2 linked regions of the Xenopus tropicalis genome follow. The protein of the gene in region 1 purifies or fractionates together with the protein of each later gene. This does not show direct contact. Links are inferred from orthologs where the notes say so. Each region holds a gene or a part of one and is shown on either strand. Other genes may lie near its edges.

What was found.
Region 2: the proteins of smarca2 (region 1) and dpf2 purify together in Homo sapiens (affinity purification with mass spectrometry; 6 studies listed by BioGRID and IntAct, counting the BioPlex papers as one, with this or other methods). This does not show direct contact. The link is inferred for Xenopus tropicalis from reciprocal best matches to the Homo sapiens genes SMARCA2 and DPF2.

What each region holds. Positions count from the first base shown.
Region 1 is NC_030677.2:128,181,820-128,197,950, reverse strand, and holds the end of smarca2 (probable global transcription activator SNF2L2), read left to right. Parts: intron 1-3,356; coding exon 3,357-3,462; intron 3,463-5,073; coding exon 5,074-5,175; intron 5,176-6,152; coding exon 6,153-6,285; intron 6,286-7,780; coding exon 7,781-7,923; intron 7,924-8,523; coding exon 8,524-8,559; 3' UTR 8,560-9,478; downstream 9,479-16,131. UniProt on the Homo sapiens protein: ATPase involved in transcriptional activation and repression of select genes by chromatin remodeling (alteration of DNA-nucleosome topology).
Region 2 is NC_030680.2:32,320,980-32,336,945, reverse strand, and holds part of dpf2 (zinc finger protein ubi-d4), read left to right. Parts: intron 1-2,948; coding exon 2,949-3,027; intron 3,028-5,344; coding exon of another isoform or gene 5,345-5,386; intron 5,387-7,502; coding exon 7,503-7,649; intron 7,650-8,015; coding exon 8,016-8,144; intron 8,145-9,151; coding exon 9,152-9,264; intron 9,265-10,623; exon of another isoform or gene 10,624-10,651; coding exon 10,652-10,733; intron 10,734-10,893; coding exon 10,894-10,964; 3' UTR 10,965-15,966. UniProt on the Homo sapiens protein: Plays an active role in transcriptional regulation by binding modified histones H3 and H4. Is a negative regulator of myeloid differentiation of hematopoietic progenitor cells. Might also have a role in the development and maturation of lymphoid cells.

The sequences.
Region 1 (16,131 bases):
AACCCCTTATCCAGAAGGCTCCAAATTATGCAAAGGCCATCATCCATAGGTTTAATTTTAACCATAGTATAAAATGTGAATTATTTTATTATAATGGAGTTTATGGGAGATGGCCATCCCGTAATTTAGCGCTTTCTGAATAAAGGGTTTCCAGATAACAGATACCATACCTGTACTTGAATTAAAGAAGAATCAAGCAAGATTCTCCAACTTTATACTGTACCTGGTCAAAATGACCAAAGTATTCATCCTTTCCTGCTAGCTCTCTCAGTATTTTCAAAATATGATGTTTGTAGCACTATTTTCATTTTGCAATGGTGAAGGGCAGATACATTTTATTTTCTTTGAGGTGGGTGTCTAGATATGTTTTGCAACAAATACATACTGCTGCATTTTATGTGTCCAGTTGTAAGGCTAACAGCCATGGGGCACACGCCACATTTGCCATTACTGGAAAGTAAGTTTAGTAGAGGTATTCCACCATACTAGGTAGGCTAAACATAGCAGAGAAGTTGATGGGCCTCCATGTTTTTAATTTCTTGCAAGAGGTAGATAATAAGATTGTGAACTGCATAATGGTCATCTCTAAGCCAAAACAGTCACAACAAAGGGGTGGAGTAGTAGTATACAGAGCGCATTTCTAATTAAACTAACTCAGCTAGTTACAGGGTTATTATAATTAGTGTCTAATGAAAATAATGCACCATTATTGCTTTAGAATAAAATTAAAATAGCAGAATGTATTTTCAGCATAAGTTCCATTTATTTTGCGAATGTTCAAAGTTTGTATTTAGACACCATGAATATATTGGCGGATTAAAGTATATTTATATTGTTTCGAAAGATGATCTCTGCACCAGGTTAGTAAAATAAAGTTAATTTTAGTACAGCTACAAAACAGTGCTAGTAGCTGTCCCCTGTATACTTAAAAAGGGGTTATGTGCATAAAGCATGAAGGTGTTTCCTTTTAAAGAGATTACAGTAAATGTCAACCGCTAATTGCTTGCTATGAGTTACTGCACTTGGGCACACAAAAAAATGGGGTTATATAATTAAAGGCACTACGTTTGCCTAGGAGCAGTAACAACCAATCAGCAGGAAGCATTTATTGGTCACCTGTTTAAATAAAAAAACCTTATTGATTGCTATGGGTTACTGCTTCTGGGCAAACATAGTGCATTTTATTACATATGCGGGTTAGTGCCTTTTATTACCTAACCCCAAATGTATTTAAACCCTGCTTACTCAGTGGGTATCCCATATTGCACTTTACTCTGCAGCCTTGTTTAGGCTTGCTTGAGTCTTTTGTTGAAAGCTGTAATATTGTTCTAACAGATGACAGGAGCTTTGCTCTGCTCTTTTCTGCATCGGAGCAGCATGTGATACCCAGGCATTTGTGCTGCCGGTGGAAGTACTTTACCCTCACGTGTTTTGATGAAACCTTCATAGTAGCACTGGCGAAACAATGGCTACATACCTCCTTGTGGCAGATATACCTCAGTCAGTAAATGGTCACCCTGAGGTTCCTATGTCTCTGGAACATGGCAACAATCAGTGGCGCCCTTAAATAAATAAGACATTTTTCATAAATATATGTTGAGCCAAATGCCCCTCTGGACCTTCTGGGCCCAAACTATAGTGCCTGCTTACTCAGGTCTGGATTGGTAGTCAGTATAGGCCCTGACATACCACGTACACAAATACCAAAACAGCCCCTACCAGCCCAATAAATAGTGACTGCCTATGGCATCTTACAGCAGCCCCTCTGGCATTTGCCATTATCCACAGATTGCCAGTCCAGGTCTGTCTTCTCTCTGTAGTTACACCTGGTGGGATTATAGCTGCCTACCTTTATGCCTACTGTTAACATGTGTTGTTTGAGCTCTAACTATCAGTCCTTACTTGCTTTATATTAGCTAGATAGCTCATCTTAACACACATCTGAAGAGTACATGCATGCAGCTTGCCAGGAAGAAGTTATCAAACAAGTGAAAAAAAAAGAACAATCTTACAGAAATACGTAGGAATCAAAGTCTTACTATTTTAGCCCTTATAAAAATTGGGTATCTGCTGATAAACGTGTGCTGCTTGTTCCCGAAAATCCAGTATGGGAACACCTGCCCAGAACTGCATCACCCTGCTGCCCATTAATGCAGTCCCGCTCTGGCTGCAGCAGGCATCTTCCCGTTGCCTAGCAACTGTAGTAGCTGCCTGCCTGGCGCCTGCGCTTCTCATCTAAGCTTGGGAGCACAGCAAGGATTATATTCAATACTGTGTAAATGGACATTATCTTGTGCAGCCATGTAATGCTCTGATAGCCCCAGTATTATGCACAAATCATAGGTTCCCACAAAATGACAGCGTCTAAAGGGAGAGAGAGAGCTAGAAGGCCCGCCATTCTCTGTGTGTTAAACAAAGAGCTTGTCACAAATTGATATTTTATTGAAAATATCTGCTGAATATTGCTATCACTTGTTTTTGCAACCTGTTCTTATTTATTTTAAAAGGTTTTATTAATGGATGTCTGTTCTCTTACTATTATGTGTATTATATTTCTCCCTTTTTCCTTTTTTTCATATAAAATCATTTTTATTGTATATCCTTTGTATGCGTTGTTCTAATGCTTAAGCATATTATTACTGAATGAAAGGTATCCATTTTAGGTTAAAATCCACCATTAGCTTGAATGTCAGGACTTCAGGCTACTGTTGCTTCTGCATATTTCATATTATCTGCTTTGCTTTATAATCTAATATATCGTAGAAAAAGGTCAGGTGCTTTATAAGTCATTCATATTTTTTACATTCATTTTTTTGATGTGTTACTTCATAACATACACAGGGTTTTTGTTTTTGGGGGATTTTCTTTGTCTTATTTCTTTTGGCACATATGCAAATTTCCAGTAGGTGGCGCAGTTTGCATATACAATTGTTTGAAGCCTTTGTATTTTTCATTAGTGACTTAAGAGGAATCAGTAAGGTTTATAGGGAAGGTATAAGTAAATTTCTTGGGGAAAAAACACAATCATGTATTCTTGAAATACAAACAGAATGGCTTTTTAGCAGGGTTTGATAGGTTTTATGAAACTATTAAGCACAAATTCTTTAGCTGTCTTTGTAATTCAGTTTGTTTACAGTGCCCAAACTGATTTAAAATTTAAAACATGTGTTTGTTTTTTTGATAATATTTGTGAACCAGTAACATGGTAAACCCGCCCATAGAAAAGATACTTGAAAAACTAACATTGTAAAAAAAAAAATGTGAATTTTCTTGAGATAAATGTGTTGTCTATGGATTTTTTTTTTTACATAACATATGATTTCTCAATACACATATATTTTTATTTTTTTTATCAGCAACGGAAGGCAACTTAGTGAAGTTTTCATACAGCTTCCTTCTAGGAAAGAACTGCCAGAGTATTATGAACTGATCCGCAAACCCGTTGACTTCAAAAAAATAAAGGTATGTCTTACTGTAGTACAGTGCTGTCCAACTGGCGGCCCGCAGGCCGCATGCGGCTCGCGACCCCCCTCTGTGTGGCCCCCCACCTGTCTGGCTGCTTTGATGGCTTACCTTTGTGTAAGCTTTAAATGGAATCAGAATTGAGATTAACTGGCCCCCTGCATGGTTCACACCTCACATTCAGGCTGTAATCCCTCTGTATTGTTTAAAAATGTAATCCCCTGTGTTGTTCACACCTTTTAATCCCTGCATTGTTCACCCCCTGCAGTGTTCACACCTCAGACTCAGGCTGTAATCACCCCCATTGTCTACCTGTTCACACCTCTGTGGAGTAGTGCCAGCATTGTGTGTATTGTGTGTACTACCTGCCCTATACTGCCTGTGTGTATGGAACATGCAGGCAGGCAGAGTATGGCACACACAGACAGAATAGGGCAGGCAGAGTATGGCACACACAGCAGCATAGGGCAGGAGGGGTACGGCAGGAAGAGTATTGCTCACACAGGTGGAGTAGGGCAGGCAGAGTATGGCACACACAGGTGGAGTAGAGCAGGCAGCGTATGACACACAGGCAGCATAGGGCAGGCAGAATATGACACACACAGGTAGCATAGGGCAGGCAGAGTATGGTACACACAGGTAGCATAGGGCAGGCAGAGTATGGCACACACAGGCAGGGTAGGGCATGCAGAGTGGTCAAACTGGCTTCCATTAGCGGCCCTCCACTATGTATGCTAGAGAAATTCCGGCCCTCGGCACCGCAGAAGTTGGACAGCACTGCTGTAGTACATTTAATTCTTAAATAAATCCCATAAAGTTATTCTGACTTATAAAACATTGTGGCTTGGCCAGTCAATCAAGAATAAGTAATGGTCTTCCAAAGCTGCACCAGGCACAGCCCACAAAGTTGATGTGATCAGGACAAAAGACTAAAGCAGTCATTGTGAGCCTGGGGGGCATAGGGTTATCAGATACCTCCAAGCATTGAAAGGACATATCCAGGGATCTTGGCAAGAGTAACTGTGGTAAGGTAAATAGACCTTCCAGTTACTGGATAAAACGTGATCAATTAGGCCACTGTCCAAAAGCTGAATAAGACAGCATGCTGATGTAGTGGGCTGATAGGCTTTGATATATTACAGAGAAGGTCTGTGCATAACAAAGGCACCACCAGTCCATCCCATAACAAGGTGACATAAAAAGCATAAATCACCACTTGGAGCTTCTTGTATATTGTAGATATGTATTTGTATAAACCACATACTGGTATATGAACCATAATGTGGAAACCCATAATCCAGAGTTCAAAAGACCATCTTCCATAGACTCCATGTTAAACAAATAAGTTTATTTTTTAGAAATTATTTCCTTTTTTCTTGTAATAATAAAACAGAACCTTTTACTTGATCCTAACTTTTATATAATTAATCCTTAATGAAGGTAAAACAATCCTGTTGGGTTTATTTAAGGTTTAAATGATTTTTAGTAGACATATAGTATGATTTCCCAATTACGGAAAAGATCCCTTATCAGGAGGGTAAATGCTTTATTAGAGTTTATTTACATTTCTAATTCACTACATTTTTTTCTCTTTCTTTTGTTTCTTAACAGGAGAGAATTCGTAATCACAAATACAGAAGTATTAGTGATCTAGAGAAAGATATCATGTTACTGTGTCATAATGCACAGACATTCAATTTGGAAGGATCCCAGGTTAGTTCTATGTTTTCATTAGTGCTATTACCACCGAATGCCAGATCCCTTTAACCATGACATTTCTATTCCCTTGTAAATCAGCTCTTTGTCATATTTTGTAATAGGACATGTATCCCAAGCTTTTGCTCTAGAAAGTATACAGTATGCAGGCACAAACTTGTATATCATCAGTTTCTTTGAATAGTCTCTACAGTGTCTGTTAATATATGTTGAATATTTCAGCTCAGTTTAGCCTTTGGTGCATACGTAAATTAATCTTTTATTGCAATAAATTGTCAGACTGTAGCAGTGGTCCTCACTCTTTTTACCCCATCCTAACATGGGTTTTTAATCTCACAGCCAACATAGATTAAATAGAAAACTGAAAACATAAATTTAACAATCCACAGCAGGCAAGTAGTTGAAGAGCAAGTATAACTTTCTATAACAACACATTTGCACAAGGAAGAGTAGCTGTTCTGTATGATTAAAAGGGAATGGTTTGCCAGTCCTAGAAGATACTTTTTTTTAAAAGTATATAGAAGTTGTGTTAATAGCAATGCCACTTACAAAATATACCACCTACAAAATTATAGACAATCCAATTGTGCAGTTATTTCTGATCCTGTTGAGAACATCCGCGACATTGCAGCATTCTGTTGTGGTCTGACCATGGCAGCTGGAGAGCACATTGCATTGTGAATTGCACTTCTTGTTTCTATGTGTCGGGAAATACATTTGATTTCATTTTTACATTTACATACAATCTTTTATTACTATCTTTTTCTATGAAAATTGCTTCCTACTGAAACCATATTCAGATTGGCAGTTGCTTTGAAATGTATTAAAATCTCATTTTTGTGCAGCAAAAAATGTGCCGGTGGAATTTCACAGTTCATAGGGTGAAGTAGGTTAAGTTACTCTGCCACTGGCATTTTTTGGGAGATTTCAGTTTGGTCTGTATCTACAAAATATGTTTTTGCTTTGTTTATTAGATTTATGAGGATTCCATTGTTCTACAATCAGTCTTCAGGAGTGCAAGACAAAAAATTGTGAAAGAAGATGAGAGTGAGGAAGAAAGCAATGATGAGGAAGATGATGATGAAGACGATGAATCAGAATCTGAATGTAAGAGTTTAAAATGTTACCATTGAATCCAAAAATACAACTTTTAAACTACAGAGTTGCTGTTACATAGAGAGTCTGCATAAATCTATTTTCACAGTGCAAAATAAATTGTCATTGACTAGCAACAACAAAAATTGTCAGTGCAACCGTTAACTCTTACAATGCAACAATGCTGGCTCTCTCTAATGTAATGCCATTTGTCACAATGTTTATCAGTCCATTTAGTATGACCTATAAGATGTACTGTAAGATGTAAAATCAGTCTCAGTATGGCTACTAAATTATCAAGATTTTTTGGGGGGAAATTTTGTATTCCTTCCACTCCATATGATTTGCTTAAAAAAAAAAAGTATGGTCCAATAACTGCATCAGAATATCAAAATATATTGATATATATATTTATATATCTAATGAATTAACTTAAAAGAGTACAGTCTATTAAAGCTCTGTAAACTGCCCTCATTGCACTGTATCTGCAGTACACTTGGCAGTATATTAATGCAATTTGGCTACACAGTTGGATGGCTAAATTAAACTGCTAAAAATATTGATGTGGGCCCTTAAAGGGGTTGTTCACCTTATAGTTAACTTTTAATATGATGTAGAGAGTAAAGAGTCAATTTGCAATTGATCTTCATTTTTCATTATTTGTAGTATTTAATTATTTCATTTTCAGTTCAGGAGCTTTCCACTTTGGAATTTCAGCAGCTATAGGGTCCAAATTACCTTAGAAACCGGGGAGTGGTTTGAAGGAGAGACTGGTTTATGAATAGGAGAGGGCCTGAATAGAAAAAAAAAGTTACAAAAAGTAACAATAACAATAAAACTGTAGCCTCACAGAGTAATACTTTTTGGCTGCTGGGGTCAGTGACCCTCATTTGAAAGTTGCAAAGAGATGGAAGGAGGCAGCAAATAAGTTCAGTTTTTTTTTATATGTGCAATTGCACTCTCTGCACTAGCAATGCAGCCGTGGGGACTGAAACACCTCTGCCATTGTTAGTTGATATAAAAGGTTTACATTCTGAAAATCAAATATGTACCTGTGTTGGTCAGAACCATGTGAAAGCACTAGGGAATTTCCTGAGGTTCTGTACGGAAAAGGCTTACTAACATGAATAAGAGGCAACAGCAGGTGAGTTGTGGCATTCTGTATGGCAACTTGTGCCATAAACATTGAACTCACAGTCATTATTCAGCCTAATGTACCAAGTAGATGATCATCCCAAATATCCAACATCTGTAAGCCCAGAGCCCATTTCTATATGATATATGACTTGTCAAAATCTAGAGCAAACAACAGAATAGCCAGATGGCACGGAATACAGCTTGTACAATGCCTGGAGAAAAATACGCCTCATGGATGGATTGTAAATAGTGAGAATGTATTCTGCGCTGAAAAGATACTGCAGTGCTTAAAACGTGATTAGTTAGAAATGGTAAATTTTTATTCAATAAAAAAAACATGATTTGCTAATGTTTCATTCCTCCTTCACAGCAAAGTCCGTGAAAGTCAAAATCAAGCTGAGCAAGAAGGATGACAAGACCAGAGAAAAGGGAAAAGGAAAAAAGAGGCAGAGTCGAGGCAAAGCCAAGCCTGTTGTGAGTGACTATGACAGTGAAGAAGATCAAGAAGACAATGTGAGTTTAATCAGCTTACTTTATAAATGATATGCCCTTGCCAAAGGGAAAGCAACTTTTATAGAACACATAACACCAAAGCCCAAATTAGAATGTGTACAGTATGTAGTGGTATAGAATTCTGAGTCAGAATTTTTTTTATTGGATCTCTAGATGTTCTTGCCCAACATAATCTAACCATTTTATGTTGGTAGGATTTAAGAAACAACCAATGACCACTGCTTTAAGTAAAACAACTGTGAAACCATAACCTAGCAAAACATTAGCTCGGTACATAAGTGACTTCATTTGTATTTATATCAATCATTTTGCCCTTAAGTTTGTTTATGTATAGTTGAGGGGTTTTCCATTTTGCTGCCTGGGTGCCAACAGTATAAGTTTGTTTAATCAGTGTGTGCCATTTTTATAACCCTTAATTTAGTGCCCCTGCCAAATAAATAGATCATTTGGTAAGCAGAATGCCTGCCAGATAGCATAAGATGCCAGTAGGGAAAGAGCCACAACAACTGTGTGTAAGGTATGAATTAAAATAAGGATGCTCATAATGAATTTGTAAAAATAATACAGACTTATTTTGTTATTCTTGCATTTTTTATCTAGGAACCATCAGAAGGAAGTGGAAGTGATGACGAATGATCCTTACAAGACACAAGACTTGATTTCTGGTCAGATTTCTACATTTCTAAATTCCAAACCATCCTAATGAATTTTTCTAAGAATAAACACTGGGGTTGTACTTTCATCATCTAGAAGTAGTGTTAGAATAGTGCCAACCAAACATGGTATCATCGTGTACACCAATAAAAATCTTTGTAACATATTGTGACCAAGTGGGCCTCCGACATGAAGCAAGTAACCCAGGCTTTGATGGAAAACTGTGGATCAGTTGGTTCTTGCTGTGGGCCAAGTTTCACGTGGCAACGGTTTCAGAGACAGCCACCAACCCTGCAGAGCTGAAAACAGAATATTTTGTAGCGGGTCATTCAAGACACCAACAAATATAACTGGCTATTTTATTTTTCTTCAGGCAATTTTAGCAGTTTCTACGTTGCTGTGGTTCAGTATTCGTGTTTTTTGTTTTTAATTTTTTTTTAATCATTGTGGTACATATATGCAACTTCTTATGTATGGGTTAACCCTTTGGGTGCTGGAGGGGCCTGTAAAACATTGCTCCGCATATAATGGCTCACACAGTTCACAAAGCGTTAAAACATATTCCCACCCACCACCCCATTTGTTTCCCCCTGTTTTAAAGCTTTTGATTGCAAAATTCTTCTATACATTTAAACTATATGGCTAAAGTCTTCTTTTTTTTCTTTTACTATTTTATGTTATAAAAACTACACAGTTTGTTTAAACTTGTTATCAAATGTTGCAAACTCTATATAGTGTAACAGAATGCTTATTCCTCCCCTTTCTTTAAACTGACCTTTGTTACCAATGTGGATAATCAGCTTTTTCCTAAAGTGTACTTAATCTTTGCTTTCTTTGCACAATGTCTTTGGTTGCAATTCATAAGCCTGAGGCAAATAAAATTCCAGCAATTTTGAAATCACTTGTGTGTTCTTTCCTGCAAATGCACATTACATTTACCAGGTATGTTTTAAGATTATTAACCAGTTTTACGTTTTAATGGTTCTTGAGTCCAACTGGCTGCACATGTCGTGGCAACAACCTGAAGAGACTTCTGTGATCGACAAACTCTGGCTTTCCCTTTTAAAATGGCAGAAGTCATTTGTAGAATTGTGCAAGTGCAGTTATATTGGCCGGGACTGGCAATCTGTGAGTTCTGACAAATGCCAGAGGGGCAGCTGTAAGATGCTATATCAAGTTACTATTTATTGGGCTAGTAGGGGGCTGTTTGGGCCTTTGTGTATTTGAAATGCCAGGAGTTTTTTGTTTTTCTGCATGATCACTGCTGCTGTTTCAGAGATTCACACGAACAGATGAGTAGGAGTGCAGCTATTTTGCTTATAGCGTTATATGTATGGGCCCTTACTATTGTTTTCAGTATATTGCCCAACATTTCACATGTATGTCATAGTAAGCATACCATGACATACATGACATTCAAGTGCTACTTCTTTGTTCAAGTCTCATATTAACATCATAGTAGTAGTCCTAAATAAATTACAAATCTTTATTGTTATAAGTGCACAATACATTCTTTCTCTCATCTGTTAGTGTACACATGTACTTGCCTTGGCTCATGTGTTATTTTTCTTTGGAAGAAAGCCATTAGGAAGGGAGTTACTTAATAACCAGACATACCAACACATGGCTGATACATACAAACCTATACTCAAAATAGGTTAAAAAAAAAAAGGTTGTAAACCTAAATATAAAATTGTGCATAAAAAAAAGTTAACTCTTTCCATTACTAAGTATACATTTGAAACAATAATCATAGAACCTGAATGGCACTGAATGGTTTTTCAACGTTTTTATGTATACAATTAATGAGTATCCTAGTATTGTATGCTTGGAAACTATATTCCTTCCAGATAAATAAATACATATAATAGAAGGAAGATATTAGGGACAAGTCAAATAATATATAATTATTTTTCACATTTATCTGGTAACATTTCATCAGATAGAATCATCTATCTTCAACAATTAAAGCACAGCTGTCCTTGCCCTTTGCTAACCAGTAGAATATTAATAACACTAATATCAATGCAGCACTGCATACATGCACATATAGACCACAAGGGTAAAATCCTGGGTTAAATTATTTATTGAACATTTTACAAAATTACGTAAGTATGGTATTTTCATCCAAGCACTTTTCCCAATTCTTACAAATATCAGCTGTTTCACAGTAAGTAATGAATGAATCAATCTGGTTGTGATCAGGTTATTTTTAACTATTCATATAACTGAACAAATTCCACAGTAAAAAAGAAACCATGCCAAGGAGAGAAGTAGGAGTAAGGAGCTGCTATTACTGATAGTAAGAGGTAAATGCTTAGCCAATCTGGATCAGGCTAGCCACTAGTACTTCTGTCTGGTTTCAACAGGAAACGAGGAACAAATAACAGGCTAGCATCAGTTTTATATAGCTTTCCTTTTCTGTATATTATGCCTATCTTGTACTGCTGGTATCCTATTATCTTTTTATTTATATTAGCTTGGAGCTATTACTGAGTACTTAATATTAGTTTCAGCAGGAGAAACGCGCTGAACACATTCCATTAAAATAGTACCACCATGCTACCCAGTCCAAGTCTATTTAATCCAAGTTAACATGCCATTAAAATGTAGTTTCCAACAAGCCGATTTTACCTGGGGTGGTACATTCTGTTAGCAGTCACTGCTGACCAGTAACCACTGGCCTAGTAGTAGTAGTAAATGGAATACTGCAGCAATAGGCTGGGAATACCTGCTTTGATTTTGTTTTGTGCATCTGACCCCCAGTTACCCACATTAGACTGCAGGTGCATTCTGGTCACTATTTGAAATCTAACCCCAGTGTTTATGACATGCCTGGCTAAAAAGAACCAATCCTCTTGTATCAGGCCCAGACTGGCAATCTGTGGATTCTGTCAAATACCAGAGGGGCTGCATTAAATTGATGGTGACTATTTATTAGGCTGGTGGAAGGCTGGGCCAATGTGTACTTGAAATGCCAGGACCTATTTTGAATCCCAGTTGGGACCTGGTTTGTATAAAGATGTCCTTGGGCTATTACACAGTATGACAAATGTTAGTACGTCCTGTCTATAAACGAGTTTTGTTTAATATCTTCTGTTCCTGGTATTTGCTATACATCTACATAGTAACATAGTAAGTTAGGTTGAAAAAAGACGTACGTCCATCTCTCTTATCAATGACTCATTCTCTGCGAGTGATGTCAAAAATCTGCTCCTGGTAACTTCAAGAGCCAAAATTCGGATTTTAAAATTGGAATTTTGGATATTTTAGTGCAAATGCGCCCCAGCCCCCATCGATGCAAGCATTCACTTACTACCACGTTACAGTTTAGCAGCTTGACGGGATTTGATGCACACATGCAGCAAAATATACACTGGGTGGCAGTGTCAGACCTGTGCCAACTTACTTGTGTTGTATTCACAAGGTTATATATCCAGAAAAACAGCCTTATTGGTGCACAAGCTAGACACTATTAAAGCATAACTAATGGAACAGACTATTATACAGAAAATGGCAGACATATTGAACTCCACTGTATAACTATCAAAGCAGAGGTGTGTGCACTTGCTACATTGCCCAATCCCCAAATGTAAGCTCACCCAAATGCACTCATTTCTATAGGAAAATAGCAGCCTTCTATTATTATTTTGTTGAAACACCAACTAAAATGATTGCTTCCCTGTTGGGTGCTTGCAGAGCAATCTGGCTTAATCTTTGCCTGTGGACTCCCATGGAGAGAAGGTATCTCCTGGGCGGGGGGGCAGGCTTTACATCAGGAGACTTTTATAGCTAATGTGTGTTTTAATACGGTCAGCGTTATTAGATCCCCCCAACTCCAGTCTGCATTGTTTTTTATTAAACATGTTTCATTAAAAAAATAGAGATGCAAGAGAAAGGTGTCACCTTAATATTAATTCACACAGCATGCATTACCTCCTAACTGAGCTTTGCATTCTGTAACCTATTACCTAAAACAGGAACAAGCTGTGAGTAAAGCATTGTGAAGAGATACTATACATTTTATAGGCCAGACTATGGGCAGACAGTGTTCTCCTGTTATCTGCCAGTTTGCTGTAGTGAAACACCATTGCTCTACAGTCCTATGACCTGTACATCTCTCCAGCCGATGCTTGCTTTGCACATGGTGAAACCCCACATTTAGTATGAATAGTTCCTGTGCTGACATTGCTTTTAGACACAGGAACTCAGCGGTGAGTGTTACGTCTAAACACATCATTTTACCGAAAGTCTGGATACTTTTGGACATATGGTTTTCTCATTCTGCTCCAAAGAACAAAATGAAAGACCATGGTGCTCTAACTGATGGGCGCAACACTAATTGCAAAAATGCACACAAACTTGCATAGTAATGCACAAGGCACCCAAGTACTCTATATCTACCATTAACCATGTGGTATTTTCAGTTCTCCCGCTGTGCCCCTGTACTGCCTTATTTTGCAACTGAGAATTTGCACATAATTTATGCGCTTATAAGTAAACAGCCATGGATCACGTACCTAGAGGTCTTTTTGTATTTTCACCACTATCTTTTCTGTGTGTACATTCCGGTCCAAGAGTTTGAGTGGCAGAGAACTGAGCTGCTCAGCAAGGCAAATGGTTACAATACACAACCAGCACAACAAGTAAAGTGCAAGCAGGGCTTAGCCCTTGCGTGTTTATTCAAAATGCAACGTTTCGGGGGCGTACCCCTTCGTCAGGCATTTGGGGTACGCCCCCGAAACGTTGCATTTTGAATAAACACGCAAGGGCTAAGCCCTGCTTGCACTTTACTTGTTGTGCTGGCTGAAATATTTTGACCGGACTGTGTGGAGAGTGCCGACTCTCTAGGCTCTCCACCAAGTAGTAATTTTCTGGAGGAGGTAAGGGTGTGCTGGCGTAAATATTTTTCCCATTACAATACATAACCAAACAAGTCCCACAAAGGGATCACTGCTTAACAATGGTGAAGGGTGAAGACACATGGAGCTACTAGTAGCAGCTACTTGTCGTGGCTACTAAAATAGGCAATGTTGATCATTTACTGATAATTGTCTCTGTGTGTTTTAGCAGAGGCAATTCTCAGTATTCTCTATGGCTGGGTATTTTCTGGCGTTTAGTAACCTTGAAAAAGTAGCTGCTACTAGTAGCCCAGTGTGTCTTCACCCTGACACACTGGCCTTGGGGATGCTTCACTATAAATCTGAAGCCCAATATAGTGACATAAATGTAGTTAGCAATGGATATACAGTCTGTATATGGAATGGTAGCTCCATGACTACTGGCCCTGCATGGGTCCATGATAACTTCCATAGATGTCAGAGACAAGAGGCTTTGAAACCACCTTTCCTCCAAAATGGTTCATTTTAAAAACTGTTAAGTTAAGCACTTTCTACATATTAACTTGCAGACTGAGAAATCAGGGACATTTCTAATCAATCCTGTTACTGCAATGACTGCAAACGCATGACATTTATATGAAATGCAATAAATTCCCCAGAGAAGATTTACTGCCAACAAATGAGAATGAGCAATAGAAATAGAATACATCTTTAGGGCACATTTATACCATTCAATCACAATTCCAAATGAATGTTTTTAAATGAATTAGATACAAGGTAATCTGGTATATTATTTACTTGTATTGGTTGAATTTTTATTTGTAATATATATGTTCAGTGCATACCCCCATTTATTGAACACTGCTGCAGAATATGTTGGCACTTTATAAATACTTTATCCGTTTGTGCAGTTGCGTCTTGTATGTATGTATATCTTTATTTATAAAGCGCTACTTATGTACGCAGCGCTGTGCTGTGATGTCAAAACAAAGACACCTGTTGCCTAGACACATTGGGTCTCATTTATCAACACTGGGCAAATTTCCCCATGGGCAGTAACCCACTGCAACCAATCAAACTGTTACAATTTTTGTTTTACCTGCAACTGCCTGAAAAAAACAATCACTGATTGGTTGGTTGTTTTGGGTCACTGCCCATGGGCAAATTTGCCTAGTATTGATAAATGAGCCTAACTGAGTGCTGGGTATCCTAAGACATGCCATTATACCCATTTAGTCTTCCAGATTCAGCTGACTGTGTTACACAGTGTGTTCCCCTCCTGCCTTTCTTCCACCTTTTGATAAATATGCCCTCAAAAACCCCATACAAGTGAATAAAGTACTATGAAATTGCCTACTGACTGTGCTGACCTCTAATAAATATGCCCCTTAATATAAAAGAAGCAGAACACTAGTCGGCATTTCAGAGATTTTATCCTGAAACATAAATCTAGGTTGCAAGGATTGTAAAACACCGTGAAATATGCAGGCCTGAATACACAGAGCCTGACAATACAAATGGCTCAGCAAATGTACAAAGACACTTGTGTTAGCCTCAAATGTGACCATCCAAGCATATCAAATATAGCCACTAACATGAACTGACCAGCAGCAATTTGGTCTACCCACCATGAATCAGCTACTCATATACTGCAGCCAGCAGTACAGCAAGAAGTACACATAACGTATTGTTACCAACCCCTTGACCCCTTGACTTGACTGAAATAAAAGGATGGGAATCAAATGGTGGGCGATGAAATTCTCTTTCTGAGGAGAAGTTTGGGTTAAGAAGTAAATTTAATCAAAACATTGGGAAATGCAAGGTTCAGCAATGAGGAGAGCGGAGGTGACATCTGCAGCACTGCAACAAAAACTCTGTATATGTATCCTGGTCAGTATATTACAATTATCTTCTTTATGAATGGTGGCCTTTGAGCTTTCTCAATGTATGCTATAGAACTGAGTGATTCTGCAATATGCACAATCCTATTCCTCACACCATTGCTGTAAATTATAAATATATAGCAAAAATCCTGCTATAAATACCTAATGTTGAGATTCTTTTCTAATTTATGACATTGAGTAGGTTTTTTTTTGTTTTTGGGGTTCTTGGGTGGTGTGCAACAGTTTCTTAAATAAATCAGACTATCTTTATATGTTTATGGATGTTAGCATTACAGCATGTTGGCCTGCGGCATGCACAATTAAAGTTAGCATTGCTAAAATGGGGCAAAAATATGGTGACTGTATGCTTGGCCTGGAACTAGGCTCATCCTCCTTGCGCCCTAGGCAGCTGCCTCTTCTGCCTACCCCTAGTTCCAGCCCTGCGCCCTAGGCCCAGGCCTTTGTGGCCACAAATCCAGGCCTGATTCAGCATTTCCCCTTTTTGACAGTAAGGGAAAAGGAACTACGCTTTTGGCTCCTAAAGTGACCGTAAGTAAGGCTGAGATGATTTTGGTTTGTTTCTCTTCCCTTTCTAGATTATATACATTACTGCCATCCCCTCAAGAAGACTTTACGCCAAGACTATGAATAGCAAGACAGTGTAAACCTTTTTTGGCACAATGCCTTAGAATAGTATTAAACTCCCTGACCAGGCACAAACCTGTGGAACGGGGAACCTGGGATCTATGCATTTTTAAGCTATTTCACAATATTTTAACCGAGACAATTGTCTATGTCTATGACAATTGTCTATGGTAGGGTATTTTCTG
Region 2 (15,966 bases), on another chromosome or scaffold:
AATGGCAAATTACATTGTGTGGGCGCTTGTATAGTGGTTTATATTTGTCAAGACTATTGTTGTCCAAAATATAACTTATGTAAAAACACCCAAAACATTACTTTTTTTGTTTACAAAAAACATTGCTGCTGCTTTAACCATTGTAACTATTTTAAGGCTGAAAGATTTTATTTTGAGCATTTTTATTTATTTTTGCCGTTATACTGAACAATTAATTATACTCTTTTGGGTACTTTAGCTTGCTAAAGTGACATTGTTAAAGAATAAACGTCAAGATTTATACAACAGATTTACTATTTTATGACCCTTTGGCTACTGGAGGTACCCTTTTTTAGGCTGTAGATATATTCTACTTACATATAAAATAGTATGAAAGCTCCAGTGCATGTTAACAAATACAATTTTGCTGATGAACAGCCTCAGATAAATAATATCCAGTTAATAAGACTCCACACACCAAGCAGTGGCATCATATATACATTAAGACCATTGAGCAGATTTGGTTAAACATTCCTCCACCAACTGCATTGGAAAATCCAGTCTCTTTATTCTGTTGGCACTTGGACATAATTCTTCAGATCATTAGCCAATCGGCAGATTACTAGATGATCTACATATGTCTATAAATACACAATTCAGCTTTGCTTTTTAGTGTGCTGTAAAGATACACCAAACTGGTGTTTAAACTTTGTTATATGATGCAATCTAAGACAGAACTGCTATACATTTTTGCAGTGTGCAGTTGGTCAAGGCTGACCATAATGTCACTGTTGTAAAGTAGATGGCATTGCTGCCTTGCAGTGCTGGGGTCCTAGATTTGATTCCAGCCAGGGCACTAAAGGCAGAATTATTAGATCCTGATAAAACTGACCAGTCTGTGTGTGTGGCTGAATGTGACAGGGTTTGTAAGCTACACTCTTTAAAGTGCTGCAGAACATTTTGGTGCTATATACAGGTCCTTTTCAAAAAATTAGCATATTGTGATAAAGTTCATTATTTTCTGTAATGTACTGATAAACATTAGACTTTCATATATTTTAGATTCATTACACACAACTGAAGTAGTTCAAGCCTTTTCTTGTTTTAATATTGATGATTGTGGCATACAGCTCATGAAAACCCAAAATTCCTATCTCAAAAAATTAGCATATCATGAAAAGGTTCTCTAAACGAGCTATTAACCTAATCATCTGAATCAACAAATTAACTCTAAAAACCTGCAAAAGATTCCTGAGGCTTTTAAAAACTCCCAGCCTGGTTCATTACTCAAAACCGCAATCATGGGTAAGACTGCCGACCTGACTGCTGTCCAGAAGGCCATCATTGACACCCTCAAGCAAGAGGGTAAGACACAAAAAGAAATTTCTGAACAAATAGGCTGTTCCCAGAGTGCTGTATCAAGGCACCTCAGTGGGAAGGAAAAAGTGTGGCAGAAAACGCTGCACAACGAGAAGAGGTGACTGGGCCCTGAGGAAGATTGTGGAGAAGGACCGATTCCTGACCTTGGGGGAAGCAGTGGACTGAGTCTGGAGTAGAAACATCCAGAGCCACCATGTACAGGCGCGTGCAGGAAATGGGCTACAGGTGCTGCATTCCCCAGGTCAAGCCACTTTTGAACCAGAAACAGCGGCAGAAGCGCCTGACCTGGGCTACAGAGAAGCAGCACTGGACTGTTGCTCAGTGGTCCAAAGTATGTCATTCGGAAATCAAGGTGCCAGAGTCTGGAGGAAGACTGGGGAGAGGGAAATGCCAAAATGCCTGAAGTCCAGTGTCAAGTACCCACAGTCAGTGATGGTCTGGGGTGCCATGTCAGCTGCTGGTGTTGGTCCACTGTGTTTTATCAAGGGCAGGGTCAATGCAGCTAGCTATCAGGAGATTTTGGAGCACTTCATGCTTCCATCTGCTGAAAAGCTTTATGGAGATGAAGATTTCATTTTTCAGCATGACCTGGCACCTGCTCACAGTGCCAAAACCACTGGTAAATGGTTTACTGACCATGGTATTACTGTGCTCAATTGGCCTGCCAACTCTCCTGACCTGAACCCCATAGAGAATCTGTGGGATATTGTGAAGAGAAAGTTGAGAGACACAAGAGCCAACACTCTGGATGAGCTTAAGGCCGCTATTGAAGCATCCTGGGCCTCCATAACACCTGAGCAGTGCCACAGGCTGATTGCCTCCATGCCACGCCACATTGAAGCAGTCATTTCTGCAAAAGGATTCCCGACCAAGTATTGAATGCATAACTGAACATAATTATTTGAAGGTTGACTTTTTTTGTATTAAAAACACTTTTCTTTTATTGGGCGGATGAAATATGCTAATTTTTTGAGATAGGAATTTTGGGTTTTCATGAGCTGTATGCCACAATCATCAATATTAAAACAAGAAAAGGCTTGAACTACTTCAGTTGTGTGTAATGAATCTAAAATATATGAAAGTCTAATGTTTATCAGTACATTACAGAAAATAATGAACTTTATCACAATATGCTAATTTTTTGAAAAGGACCTGTATATCTAGGATAATAATAGTCTCAAGATATTAAACGTGTGTATGATTAACTTAAAGATCTATGAGCTCAAGTGATAATTAATTGCTTCTTTTAAAGTTCAGACTGTATTTAGAACTATTTTAATATGCTTTTTCCCCAAGCACCTCTTGCCCCTAACAAAGTTAGCCTGTCACAGGCAAATCCAGAAATGACATTGCAGGAGGTGGCAGCCGAATAATGGTGGGAACTAACTGTGGCAGAACTTAGGGGGAGACTGGGTAGGCACATTGCAACTCTGACGTGCTACTAACATTTAGTAACATTCTAGCAATTAATATAGGACTAATGAACAGGAGCATTTTCTTAGTTTGTTGTCTTAAAAAAACATGCAAATATCTCTTTATCTGAAATTATTGTAATGTCTCATTGACAAACTGTTTTTGTTTTAAAACAGGGCAAAGGTATAGGTGGTGCAAGAAAAAAGTTGGATGCAGCTGCCCTGGATGAAAGGGATAAACCATACGCTTGTGACAGTAAGTTAAATTTTTCTAGCCCATTACCTTTTCTTTATAACCATATCTATCGCCTTTATTGTCTTACTGAAAGGCTTACTTTTTAATTAACAGCCAGTTTATGTTGTGCTTTGCTAAATAATTTGCAGCAGCTATGGTTTGGTGCTAGAGATAAAGTTATATAACTTTTAGTTTTTTAGCTCTTCTGAACGTACCTCTAGCACCAAACCATAGTTATGTGTTTACTAGTATTTCTTTAGATGGCTATGCAGTGCAGTTCTGTAAATGTTTGTTTCTACCTCCTCCTCTGGTGTTATTGTTTAAAGTCATTTAAATAAAGCGGACACCTAGTCTTGTCAAGACTAAGATTTTTGCAAGCTTGGAATGTTACCTTTGTACATGTAGTAGCATCTCCGCATCCTTTAATACAGAATCCACTTATTGTCTCTTCTCCTTTACTCACCACAATTATCTCATCACTCATTTGTTTGCCTTGGAACATGGTTTTCAAATCTTAATAGCAGTTTGTTTTGTAGTCTTTGGTTGGATCCCATAACCTATGACCATCTTTTAACACAGGTTTAGCTGCAGACAGTGTCCCTTATTTTTAGTTGCTCGCTTTTTTAACTTCCACCATTGACATTTTCCCAATAAAATTAGCAACAAACATCCCTTTGACATTTCCCATCTAAAATTAGCACCAAACATCAATCTTTCTGCCTAATGTAGCTTTCTCTTTATTGCTGCTAGTTACATCAGACAGGACTACTAAAAATTAACCATTAAAATGTGTAGAAAGATTTTAGTTTTGTGCCCTGTGAGGCATTGCTAAATGATTAACATACAAAGTTGCAAAGGGTGCCCAAACATTTACGCATGTAATGTTCTAGCCTTTGTGTAATGTATGTTTTAGGTTTTGTGCTGTTAAATTCGGTGGATGGTGAGTATATTCCTGGCCCTGCTTAAGAACCATTCTTTAAATAATTATATATTTAAATTAATTTATATTTTCTTTAACTGTTGCACTGTGATGAGCCAATGAGACGACCAGTAGTTGCAGTTGGAAAGAATAAAAGCAGGAGACCATAACGTTGGCCAACCCAGCTTTAGGGTAATGGCAGACAAGGCATTTTACAAAATCACCTCGTTTGCAGGCCCCAAAACACCTTAAAAATACCCTTCTATTGAAGGGTATATTGCCATCTGCTTGGCAGCCCACTTTCATAACAGCACAAAAATGTCGAAGGGAGCATTTTCACACAATCCTATTGAACTGACAAGCAGCTGGTGATATATATTGGAAAGGTGATTTAGCAGTGGTGACAAAACACCTTGATTTCTGTTGCCCCAAAGAGGCAGTATAACCTCTGTTTTATCATTAGTTTAATGCAGGGGTCCCCAACCTTTTTTGCCTATGAGCTACATTCAAATGTAAAAAGAGTTGGAGAGCAACACAAACATAAAAAAATTTCTTGGGTGCCGAAGAAGGACTGTTATTGGTTAATTGGTATTCCCTATATGGACTGACAGTCAACAGGAGGCTCTCTTTGGCAAGCACCCAGCCAAAACTTGCCTCTAAACCACAAATTCAAAAATAAGCACCTGCTTTGAGGCCACTGGTTGCAGATCACAGGTTTAATGACACAGGCTTGCGCTGAACATATTTTTCTATTAAAGCAACAGGCAAAAACTATTGTTGTCCAAAATATAACTTCCCCCCAGCTGCCTTTGTAATAAGGAGCAGCTCATTATACAGAAGGTTTCTTTGTGGTCTGCCAATTTGTTTTATTTGTGCTCTTGTGAACAGGAAGTAGAATTTTCTATTTCACATTGTACCTCTTTATTGCAAATAATAGCCAAAGCCATAAATATTTCCTAAATAAAACAAAGGGGACTATACTGTCTATTTAAAGGAACAGTAACACAAATATTTCACATTAAAAAGATACCCTTCTAAACCCTTCTATTAGCATATACATCATACAGAAATTACAATATTATAAGTGGTTTTTGATTAAGGTTGCAAAAAGTGAATCTCTGCTTGGCCACACATGTGGTATGCAAGGATTGGATCATACTGCACCCTATGGAGACCTGTCAGGGAAGTACCATCTTGCTCTGTTAATGCAGTCCTCGTCTGACAGGTCTCTGCCATTTTACAGGTTGGTCATCCTTAAACTGTTTACATTAGTGTAATGTCTTAAGAAGCTGAATAAATGTGTTGGGTCATCCCACTGTAGCCACACACCTTTTGCTTTACTTGCTCTCTCTGCTCTTGTCTGGGTAGTCTACTTACCCCTCTCTTTTCTCTTTCTCTGTGTGTCTTTCCTTATTTCAGACAGTTACAAACTAAAGCAAACTTCGAAATTCTCCGAAAGAGGTAGTTCTACGTGCTCGCTTATACTGCTAAATTAGCATCTTGCTCACTGCCCCACCCCCTTGCACTGCAGCTTAGCATGTTTCCTTTTACCCATGCCATTTCCCACAGTGGGTTCTGTAAGCCTGTGCTCATCTGCCATCACACAGCTGTATTGTTTTTTTTCTCTCTCTTGGCACATTGGCTTCTCATCAGGCAGATAATTTAGAATAATATAGAATATAAATGTAACCGTATAATGCTGATTAGTAATTCAGATTCTCATTATATGGCAGCTCTGGGACCAGTGCAGTTTGCATCAGAATTTTATAATTAGACCTGTAGCATCAGTTTGACAGGCCAGCCTCATTTTCAGTTTGATCATTTGCGACAACCCCTAAGCTTAGCTTTTCAGTAGCTGCCAAGAAAACACTGATCGTGTGCACTGTCCAGGACAGTTCTAACAGAATCCAAGATGGGAAGCTCCTGTGGCAACTGTAAAGACCTATATACTACTATACTACTATATACTACTGTAGAGATACTAAAACTTGAAGCTAGTACAGTCAGTTTAGTAAAAAAAAAAAAAAAGTATAAAATAGCCATATTCATCTTTAGGGTTTAGTTCTCCTTTAAGGGTGTTGGGAATGGAGGTTATGTTCCATGAAGATGCTCCTCTAAAGCTGGCCATAAACATACTGATAAGCTTTTCATCCTATCTTCAGTTCAAATATGTTTGTCAAATACTTCTGGCTGATATCCTTTATCAGTTTTTATAGGTTGGTTTGTCAAAGGGAAGGTAAAGCCATAGCCAGTGGCATAACTAGAGATATATGGGTTTTGCTGGATTTAATCTCAGGACCCCCACCCACCCCCAACTGGCCACGGCTCCTACTGTTTTTGATTTCTGTCATTTGAGATGGTAGAAAGGTGGATGCACTTTTTATGGATACAATACAATATCCGTCCTTTGGCCCACAGGCTCAGTGGTCATTACCAGCAAATATTAGTATATGGCCACCTTAAGAATTCCGTATAATTTCTGTTCTAAAGGGACTTAAGGCATCATTAAAATAGGTAGCAGAAACAAACCTATCAAGAAATGGACCCATAGGGTCACACAAACATATATTTCAGGGTACTGTTTCATCCATATATGTAAATCGGGGTCTTACTCCGGATCTGGGACAACCTTTTACCTTAAATTGGTAAGGTATGTGCCCAGGTCAGGATGTTGTGCAACAAGCAGGCTCAAAGTTCTGGGGCAATGTAACATGCCTGACTGATTAGTCTCTGTCTGTCTGTGTGCTCTTCCTTACTCCTTGTGTAACACATGTTTCTGTTGCCAGATCAGAAGTGCAGAGGTATTTATCTGCTTCGTAATTCAATAACATTGTTTGCTTTTTTTCTCACTTTAAAAGCAGGCTACCCCAAAGCAGAAGTTTAAGGTTTTTATAGTTATGCTGGTAAAAGTCTGGCCTGGAGGCAAACTGCTTCTAAATATTCAGCCACAGGAATTTAAAATACCTAAACCAAAAGCTGTAGCATGAAGACTGAAGTCCAGGGAGGTTTACTTGGAGGTGCACTTTTAGATTTTGAATACCAACCACACAGACATTCCAGTGCCATCCTAGCTGGCATCTTTAAAATATCATCTCAAAAACTGAAAATCATTTTTGATCTTTGATCTGCCTGTTGGACCTGTACCTCCAATAAAAGAATAACTTTATTTTTTTTTTTACATCTGGCAGTATTGTGTTGGTACTCCTGTGTGGTACATGATGTTTTCTACTTTCACCTTATAAAGCATATTGAGTTATGTAGGTGTCTTTTAGCTTATGGCACAAAAAAGTGGTTGATATTGCAAAATTATTGCTGAATTACTAAATACATTCTAAGTTCTTTGTGAAAACATGACCTTTTTTTACTGTAACAGTAACATCTGTCCCCAATGTAAAACACCTGCAAACTATCCTTTCCTGCCACCCAGTTTCCCTTGTGGCTTTGCTTTGTTATACATCCTCCTGTTTTGGTGGGGTAGTGATTTTTCACCTGACTCTTTTTAATGTTTATCATTGCACTAATGCTTTATTACTTCTTTCTACTCTTCATTTTCTGCTGTCCTGCTTTTTCCCCCCAGTCTGTGGAAAACGCTATAAAAACAGGCCTGGTTTGAGCTATCATTATGCCCACTCACACCTTGTGGATGAAGAAGGTGCCGGGGCAGAAGATAAGGAGGATTCTCAGCCTCCCACTCCTATCATGCAGAGACCAGAGGAACAAAAATGTAAGTTTAGGCATCTACACAGAATGCAGAGGAAATGTTTGGGCAACTTCAGAAAACGAAGCACCATGTATGCTTTCCAACCGGCAATTCACTTTACTGTTAGTGGGAAAGCATTTTGGGGAGATTAGTCGCCCATGGTAGCGTAGATTAGGGCACCATTGTTTTAGGTGTTGCTTTCAAAAGCGATTACAAATTCATTAATTACAAATAATTCAATAGCAATTACAAATACATTTCATATCATTAAAAGTATATATCAAAAATTGCTTAGGATTGCATTACTTAGGTTATTCAAAATAGTTTTTTTAAGTTTGTTCCTTCTTGTTCTCCTTTTTCAACATATTTGATGCTTTTATCTTTTCCCAGCCAAAAAGGGCCCAGATGGTCTTGCACTGCCAAACAATTATTGTGACTTCTGCCTTGGAGACTCTAAGATTAACAAGAAAACAAACCAGGCTGAGGAGCTTGTGTCCTGCTCAGACTGCGGCCGCTCTGGTATGTTAAAAGAAGACTCTAGTATTTGATGAAGACTTAATACTACATGATGCATCTGATTTTATTTTTAACTGGAAAGCTTTTGCATTTAAAAGTTGAAGGCCCAAATGGGCTGTCCTAACACTCATAGGAATTCCGAACTATAATGTTTTTCAGGAATTCTCAATTTAAATATTCTAAAATGGGATATTGTGATGCATATATATGTTTAGAAGCTATATAAATGTGCATTCTGCTAATAATTTAGAGCAGTTCTTGGCTAACTGCGGGCCTCATCCACTTAGAGGGGCATGGGGGATCGGGGAAGTTGGGCAATTTCTGAGTAGCAAGCCAATTAGGGTGAGAGCTTTTTTTTGCACTTTAGATACTCCTGAAATCCCCATTGAAGGGTTAAGTGAGGAGTGAAGACTTACTTGCAGCCCTAGATATTCTTAAAACTGAAAAACGGGTTCATTTGAAACCTTGCTATAAGCTAAGTGGGTTGTGGACCTCAAAATGAATGTTGGGGATGAACTTTTAAACCACTTTGCCGGCCAGTTAACAGTGGTAGCAAAAAGCCAAATTTACAATTTTTTATTTTTCTTCTAGTGCAGAGAGTGCAATAGCACTTTTCTGCACTAGTGATGTGGCACCACCTTTACCTTCTCCGACACTAAAGATTAAGCGCTGTGCGGGGGGACAGGATTGGGGCACCATCATTTGTTTTGCTTTTTTTTTTTTTTTTTTTTTTTTTGTACATCCATAGAACAAATGTATACAGCAACATTGTACAGCAAATTAACTCCCTTCAACATTTGGCAGCTTGCCTTCTAAAGTTCCCCTATGATTTGAGTTATTGATCCTCAGGTCAGAAATATCAGATTAGCTTGCTGAGATTTACAGCCGGTTGCTATGCACATGTTGCAGAGGTCAGCAGAAATATGGTATTTTTTAGTTTTTGGATGAACGCAGATATTGGATACATATGTATGCAAAATATTCACTTACATACTATGTTGTGGACACAGGGCACCCTTCCTGTTTGCAGTTCACACCCGTAATGATGGCGGCAGTTAAGACTTATCGCTGGCAGTGCATAGAGTGCAAATGTTGTAATATCTGCGGAACCTCTGAGAATGACGTGAGTAATTACTTGCTGCTAATTGTTTATGAACTTCCCTGTATTAAGCTCCTGTTTATATCTTTCATTTTGCATAACTTGCATTTGGGATAACCTTATGCCTTGTTTTAAATCTTTAATTACCAAGTACTATATATGCATTTTACCTTGTTTACATTAGAGGATTGTTAGTTCCATTGCATATCCGCCTGTTGCAGATGACATTATAAGCCTTGCTCTTCAGCAAAAACTGGCATGCAGCCAGTGCCAAAAATTGCAATGGCCTGTACTTTGTTGTGGGAATATTCCTTACTATTCCCTGTCAGCACAGAATTGGGTTCACTCATGTCCCAGGTCCACTAATGGTCAGATTAATGCTATGCTTAATTGGCCATGTTGCTATTTCATATGCACATTTAAAGGGACGTTATCATTAATATTTACAGATCCCAGATTTTGGAGTTTCTTTGTTAGGGTTGACATTTTGAGCTTTTTTATTGCTTCTTCAAAAAAAAAAAAAAAAAATTAACAAAACTCAATAAAGCCAAGTCATAACTGAACATATAATGGCAGAAAAACAAAAAGGTTAGTGGCAAGAAGTAGGGGTTGGGACTCTATAGTAAAACATATATGGTCAGTTAAAGTTATAATGGCATACCAGTAATGAACAAACTGTTAACATACTGTTAATTTTACACATTATTTAATTAAAAAGCAGTCTCTTTTTACAATAACGTACAGCAAGCGATAGAGTATAAAATTGGAAATACCTGCTCAAAAAATATTTTACTACAGAAAGCTTTAGCAGTAAATACATTAAATATTACATTTGTTTGCAGAGAGCTGGAGAAAAAAATATTGGGGATTTTATGCCTGATCAAGAGATTGTAAAGTAATGTTTAAAAACAGAAATAAACTGAATTATGCACATTTTTGAGAAACTGCCTCTGCAATAAAGAACAGTAGGCATGCTGTTGATTGCATGGGGCATCTTTTTTTAAGAATTATGTCATAGATTATTGGTTTCAGGCCAAGCCTTAGCCTTTGGGGACATAGTAAATCAGACTTAAGGTTTCAGGCTATGTTTCTGATTTCTGACTTTCAGCTGTGCTTTCTTCCCTGTACAGAGGGTTTGTCCCACACACACAGTGGCAGTGGGTTAACAATTTGAAGCAAGGCGGGTGGTAGTAGATTGGAGACATAACCTTAGCTACATCACACACTTTGTTTATCTCTGTATTAAATGTTTTCAAAATGATACTGTCCCTTTAAATGTACCTGTACATTCTGGGCAGCTTAATCTGCACCATTTGTAAAAAAGGTTAGTTTGGATTTGGGGGTTCTTAGGTGCTCCAAGCCCTGTTTCTCCTCTTATCCTAGAAGTGTTCTGAGCTCCCTGTTTCCGTAGGATCAGTTGCTGTTCTGTGACGACTGTGACCGTGGTTATCATATGTACTGCCTTTCGCCGCCTATGGCTGAACCACCTGAAGGTAAAGAATACCATGTGCCTTCTGCTTAGTGTTGTCCACCTTAAGCACTTCCCTGTTGTGTGTGTTCTTATTTGCTTGTATTCCACTGTCATCTTTGTTTTTATTTTCTACATTGCATCTCCCGTTTACATAAGCGTTCTTGCTTTTATTTTACTTTTAGGAAGTTGGAGTTGTCACCTCTGTCTGGATCTTCTAAAGGACAAAGCATCAATTTACCAGAACCAGTCCTGACAGGTGCCGTTAAAGGCAAACAGGCTGAGGGAAAGAGGAGGACAGTCTCGGCCCCTCGGTCCCAGGTTCTGAGAAGGATGTAATGGCGCAGTCCCATGCTTACCTCTCCAGAGATGAAGTGTGTGTATTGGTTTGTATGTGTGCCTATGAGCATGCACAAATATTTATGCACACTTTAGTTCTGTTCTCCTTTTATTTTTTAATACCTACAGTAGCCTTGTATCATAGAGGAAGATTGTCACAAACTAGTAATGTAGTCACCACTGTGCAAAGTATGGTGGATTGAACATTGTTTTGTGGCTGAGTGCTGTTTGATTCCTTGTGTAGACTCAACATGGTGCCAAACAGGTACCATCATCTTTCTGGAGTAGGCAGAGATGATATTTCTCCTGCTGTTATCTGCAGTAGTAATACTGATTCAGCCAGTGCTCCCTAATAATTTGTCCCCACACACTTCCAATATTCCTTCATCATTCCCTCTAGGGCAGGGATTGGCAGCTTTGTGTTACTTACTGTAAGCTGTAAGTCTGCCCTAGCTGACATTCAGCAGCCTGTCTATCCCTGCACTAGTTGGCCAGAATAACTAGAGATTAACACACTGTCAGTTTTCCAGTGTTTCTATATTTTAATAACTTGCTGTAAAAACAGTGGCTTTAGAGAAATATAAAAGTGTACTTTATCTTAGTTAGAACTCTCCTGATTGGCAGTGTAACGATATGTTGCTTTGCTACTGCAGAGGCTTTGGTAGGGCACTTTGCTATTTTGTGGTTATTAGCATTATGTCTTTAAGAGAACGTAAAGGTGTTTCATGCTGTAGAAAAGATACTTCAGTCTCTGGACCTAACACTGCTGCTATTTTATGAGACTGAGGTGGCATTGTATAATAAAGACAACTGCTCTTTGAAATCAGCCTAATCCTGCTTGTCAAATACACTGCCAAAAGCAATGTCATTGGAGGTGACATCTTGACACCAGAGACATGCGAACACCTGATTGAGAGTGCATGCATAAAGGCCAGACAGTCCTGCACCAGAGAACAGATATAGCAGGTTTATTTTTATTAACATATAGCCCTGTTAAACATCTTTAAACCCACAAAATGATTATGTTTCAGGGACAAGGTTTAGATCTTAATCAAAGTAACTTGTGTTTATTAAGAAATAACTGTGGTGCCCCATAGTCCTATATTTTGTTTCCCCTTGGCCCCCAGTTAGAAATCTCAAAATGAAAATTTAATCATAGCAGATTTATCCATATTACTTAATATGGGAAGGAAGTGGGCCTCAGAGAATGCGCTCAAAATCTCTGGATTTAAGGCATTGCTCAGGAACTTATTTGTAGAAGTCAGGAATATGAGCAAATCTATTTTAAATCTTTTAATACTTAACAAAACATGTTATGCTTGCTTAGAACAGGGAGCACTCTACAATTTCAAAATGTAACTGTTTAGATGCCTGTGGGGACATGGACCCCTAAGATCCCAATCTCAAAAGGACCCTTCCGTTCTGGGCATTGTGGATTCATAACGGTTTCAAAAATCCATGATATAACTCCTACCTCCTGACACTGTTGGCCAAAAGCCTCCAGGATACAGTTGTTTGTGCCAAGAGGCATGAAATAGTTGAAGATGCAATCCAATGCAACCAAAAATGTAAATGTAAACAATGCCTTAAGGTAAAATGAACACCTAACCATTACTGGACTGTTACATATCGTACCCCTAGAACAGCATCTGTAAAAACTGACTCTCTTGCTTGTCAATTCCTGATGCCTTAGGCAAACTATTCAAACTATTGCTTCACCACAGAGAATTTTTACAGATACTATATGGGCGTATAGGATAAATATGTTTACCTCGTTATTTTTTAGTTGTCCTTGGATCAGAGCATGCTTAGCACTGAGTGCTCTTGTATATAAAATGAATAGTGTATCTATGTGTCTGATTACCACAAAGTACCTTTCCTTGCCAGAGTGTTAGAGACTATTTTATTAACATGCTGTTAAATTCACCACTTCTCTCGCTTTACCTCACTTATTGGGCTACCCGCCCATGACTTGCGGGCAAATGATGGTTCTGTGATGTTATGCACAGCTCCTTCGGACAGTGATAAGGCGGCAATGTCACCAGCACTTAACCAATGATAGAATCTTAGGCAGAAAGCAGAGTCATGCCCAGTAGGCATATTGGGCTCTTAGTATAAAATGAGTCTGTAAATCTATTCCATATAAAGCATATGCTGGTATTGACATTATCTAAGCCTCCGTATCCCTACAGTCTAATATGTGCCTATTTTACACAGTACAGGTACAACCATTCTGTAAAGAAAAATCATTTTCTATGAGCTAATGGTTTTAAATGTTAGAAATAAAGGGGTTTACTTAAAGCAGAATTTTTTTTTATCAGTCTTATTTTCTTGCAATACACCAGGAAGTTTGTAGCAACAATCAACACCTTGTGTTCCATACCCCTTAGGCTAATGGCACAATAATGCATTTTGCCCTCCAGTGGAGAACAAGCCAGTTCAGCCAATGTCTGGCCCATTCATGCAGTAAGTGCCACGAACGGCATCCGCCTTTCATTGTATAATAAGCCAAAAATTTGATCAGAAAGTGCTTGTGTTTTTTGGCTGAAATCCACCGTATGTGTGCAGTTACAGAAGGATGCCATTCATGTCAGATACTGCAAACGCACCAGCAATGGCCCATATGAGTTTTTTCTGCTTATGGAGAAAATGCATTGTGTGCCATTAGTATACCATATTATAGAATTCAAACACAGCGGTTCTAACCAGCAAAAGACTCAAGATGCAGCACCACAGTTCAGTGAAATCTGGTGCAAAAAATATTGTTACACCAGCCTTGTTAAGTGATTGTGTAATTTCTTCCCTTACGCTGCTGTAAGTAAACTTGAACCCTAGAGGGCGCTAGTTCCTTAATTATGTGCTCTGAACCCGCGTTTGCTCTGGAAGACTAAAGCTGGCCATACACGTGTAGATTTTTTGAAGATGTTTTCATTATAGTACAACCAAGCTTATCTTAAAAGTGCGACTTGTCTGTCAATGAAAACGACCATTTCAAGCAATATTGTCTAGTTGAAGCTAGGAAATCTACCTGCTTGGTCCTGCAAACAATTGGACCGTGGATTCATTTCATTGATCATGACTAACATTTTTAAACCTGCCAATGAAAAATTGATAGACGTACGATCGCCGGTGCCCCCTAACCGTATGATAATTTGACGGATTTGTTGGATCGCACTGAAATTGGTCGATAAGGAGATAAAAATAGTTACGTGTATGGCCAGTTTTAAGAAATAATTAAAAAGAAAAAAAAATGTTACGCCTATGCAAATATCTGTCCTTTGACTATGGAACCTCTCCCCCCCCCCCCCCCCCAGCAAAACAAAAGGAGAAGACAAATACAAAATAGATTGAATTAAAAAGGGGGGACTACTTATTTAACATCTGTAACCTTTATAGCAGTTCTCCCTGTCTTGCTTTGGCCTGGCTATAAATCCAAACCTTTGACAGGTTAAAATGTATAAGTGTTTTTTATTTGATCTGGTGTGTTTGGTTGTACACACTTAAACCAATAGTAATTAGAATTTTAATTTCCTGTCAGCGGTAAGGTCATTTGATTTTTTTAGTTTTATAATATAGTAAACCCCATGCACAGTCAATCGATACAGAAAATTTTAGATTTAAAGGTACGGATATTTTCTTTATCAGAGAGGCTTATTTTTAACTCTAGTTGTAAAGCAATGATGGCTTACAGAGCTTTCCACTGTTTCTGACCTCCAACACTGATATTGCCTTTATGCATCTTTCGGGCTAGTTATATTTATTGTCGGTAGAATGTATACTTTAATGTCAGATGGATGCTGACCATATACTCCTCTTATACTGCATTGGCATGCTGTGTGTAGATTAACCAGAAGAGGTGGTTTTATCCGTGCTGTCAGGGATCCTGCCAGGCCTTTAAATGTAACATATCTATTACAAGCTGCAAGAATATGAAAGTATTTTGTACCGTTCAACAAAGTGATATATATATATATATATATACCTTCTTAACAAATACATCAGAGTATGTGAAATTGTGTTCATAGGAATAGTACATTTGCTTCATCATGGTTCAGAAGAGCATCAAGCTGCACCTGGAGCGCTATTGTATGGCAGGTTTATAGCTGGTCTAGAAGTAAGCAACTGTTAAAGCATATGGATTCAAGTATCCTAAGTACTGTAATGGCATGACTTCCAGCTTGTAAATATTACCAAATATATGTAAAGCGCCAACATGTTTAGTTATGCTGTGTATTAAGATGTATTGAATGTTACTGCATATGGGTTGTCCTTTATCCTGTAATAAAGGGCTTGTGAACTATTTGTGGGAGGAATAAACACCTTGGCACCCTTATCTAGTATGTGTTGGAATTAGTAATAACCGTTTGGGGCTCATGTATACTTACAGCAACTGATTCCCTATCTAAAGAAGTAGTGCTTAGCTTTATCCTTCCTGTAGAGACATTTATTCTATACATTCTATACACAGGCTAATTCAGATATTCGCACATGTTCCATACCTTAACTAAAGCAGTGTGGCAGATCCAACTTGTGCACTTGGCATCCTATTTAGGGGGAAAAGCTGACTCCTACCCATCCATAGGGCATATACAGTCATTCTATAGCAAATCCACCCTCCCCAAAAATACTGTTACATATTGTTATTGCTGAAGCCCCAGACAAGTTGTTAAATAAACCTTTGAAATAAGTGAAAGTGAAATTGAGGAGTGCTGTTCTAAGCAATTATGCAATTTATATTATTCTTTTCTATTCATTTCAAGATATTGAGAGAGATAGGTACTGTTTATATGAATGTATTTTGTTGCAGCATCGGCACTGCTGGTCAGTTTCCCACTTTAATGTTATTGAGGGAGGGCCGGTCTGATGTTCTTCTGGTTAGAAAGATGTAAAATAAAGTTGTGAGCTTTTCCTAACCCGAA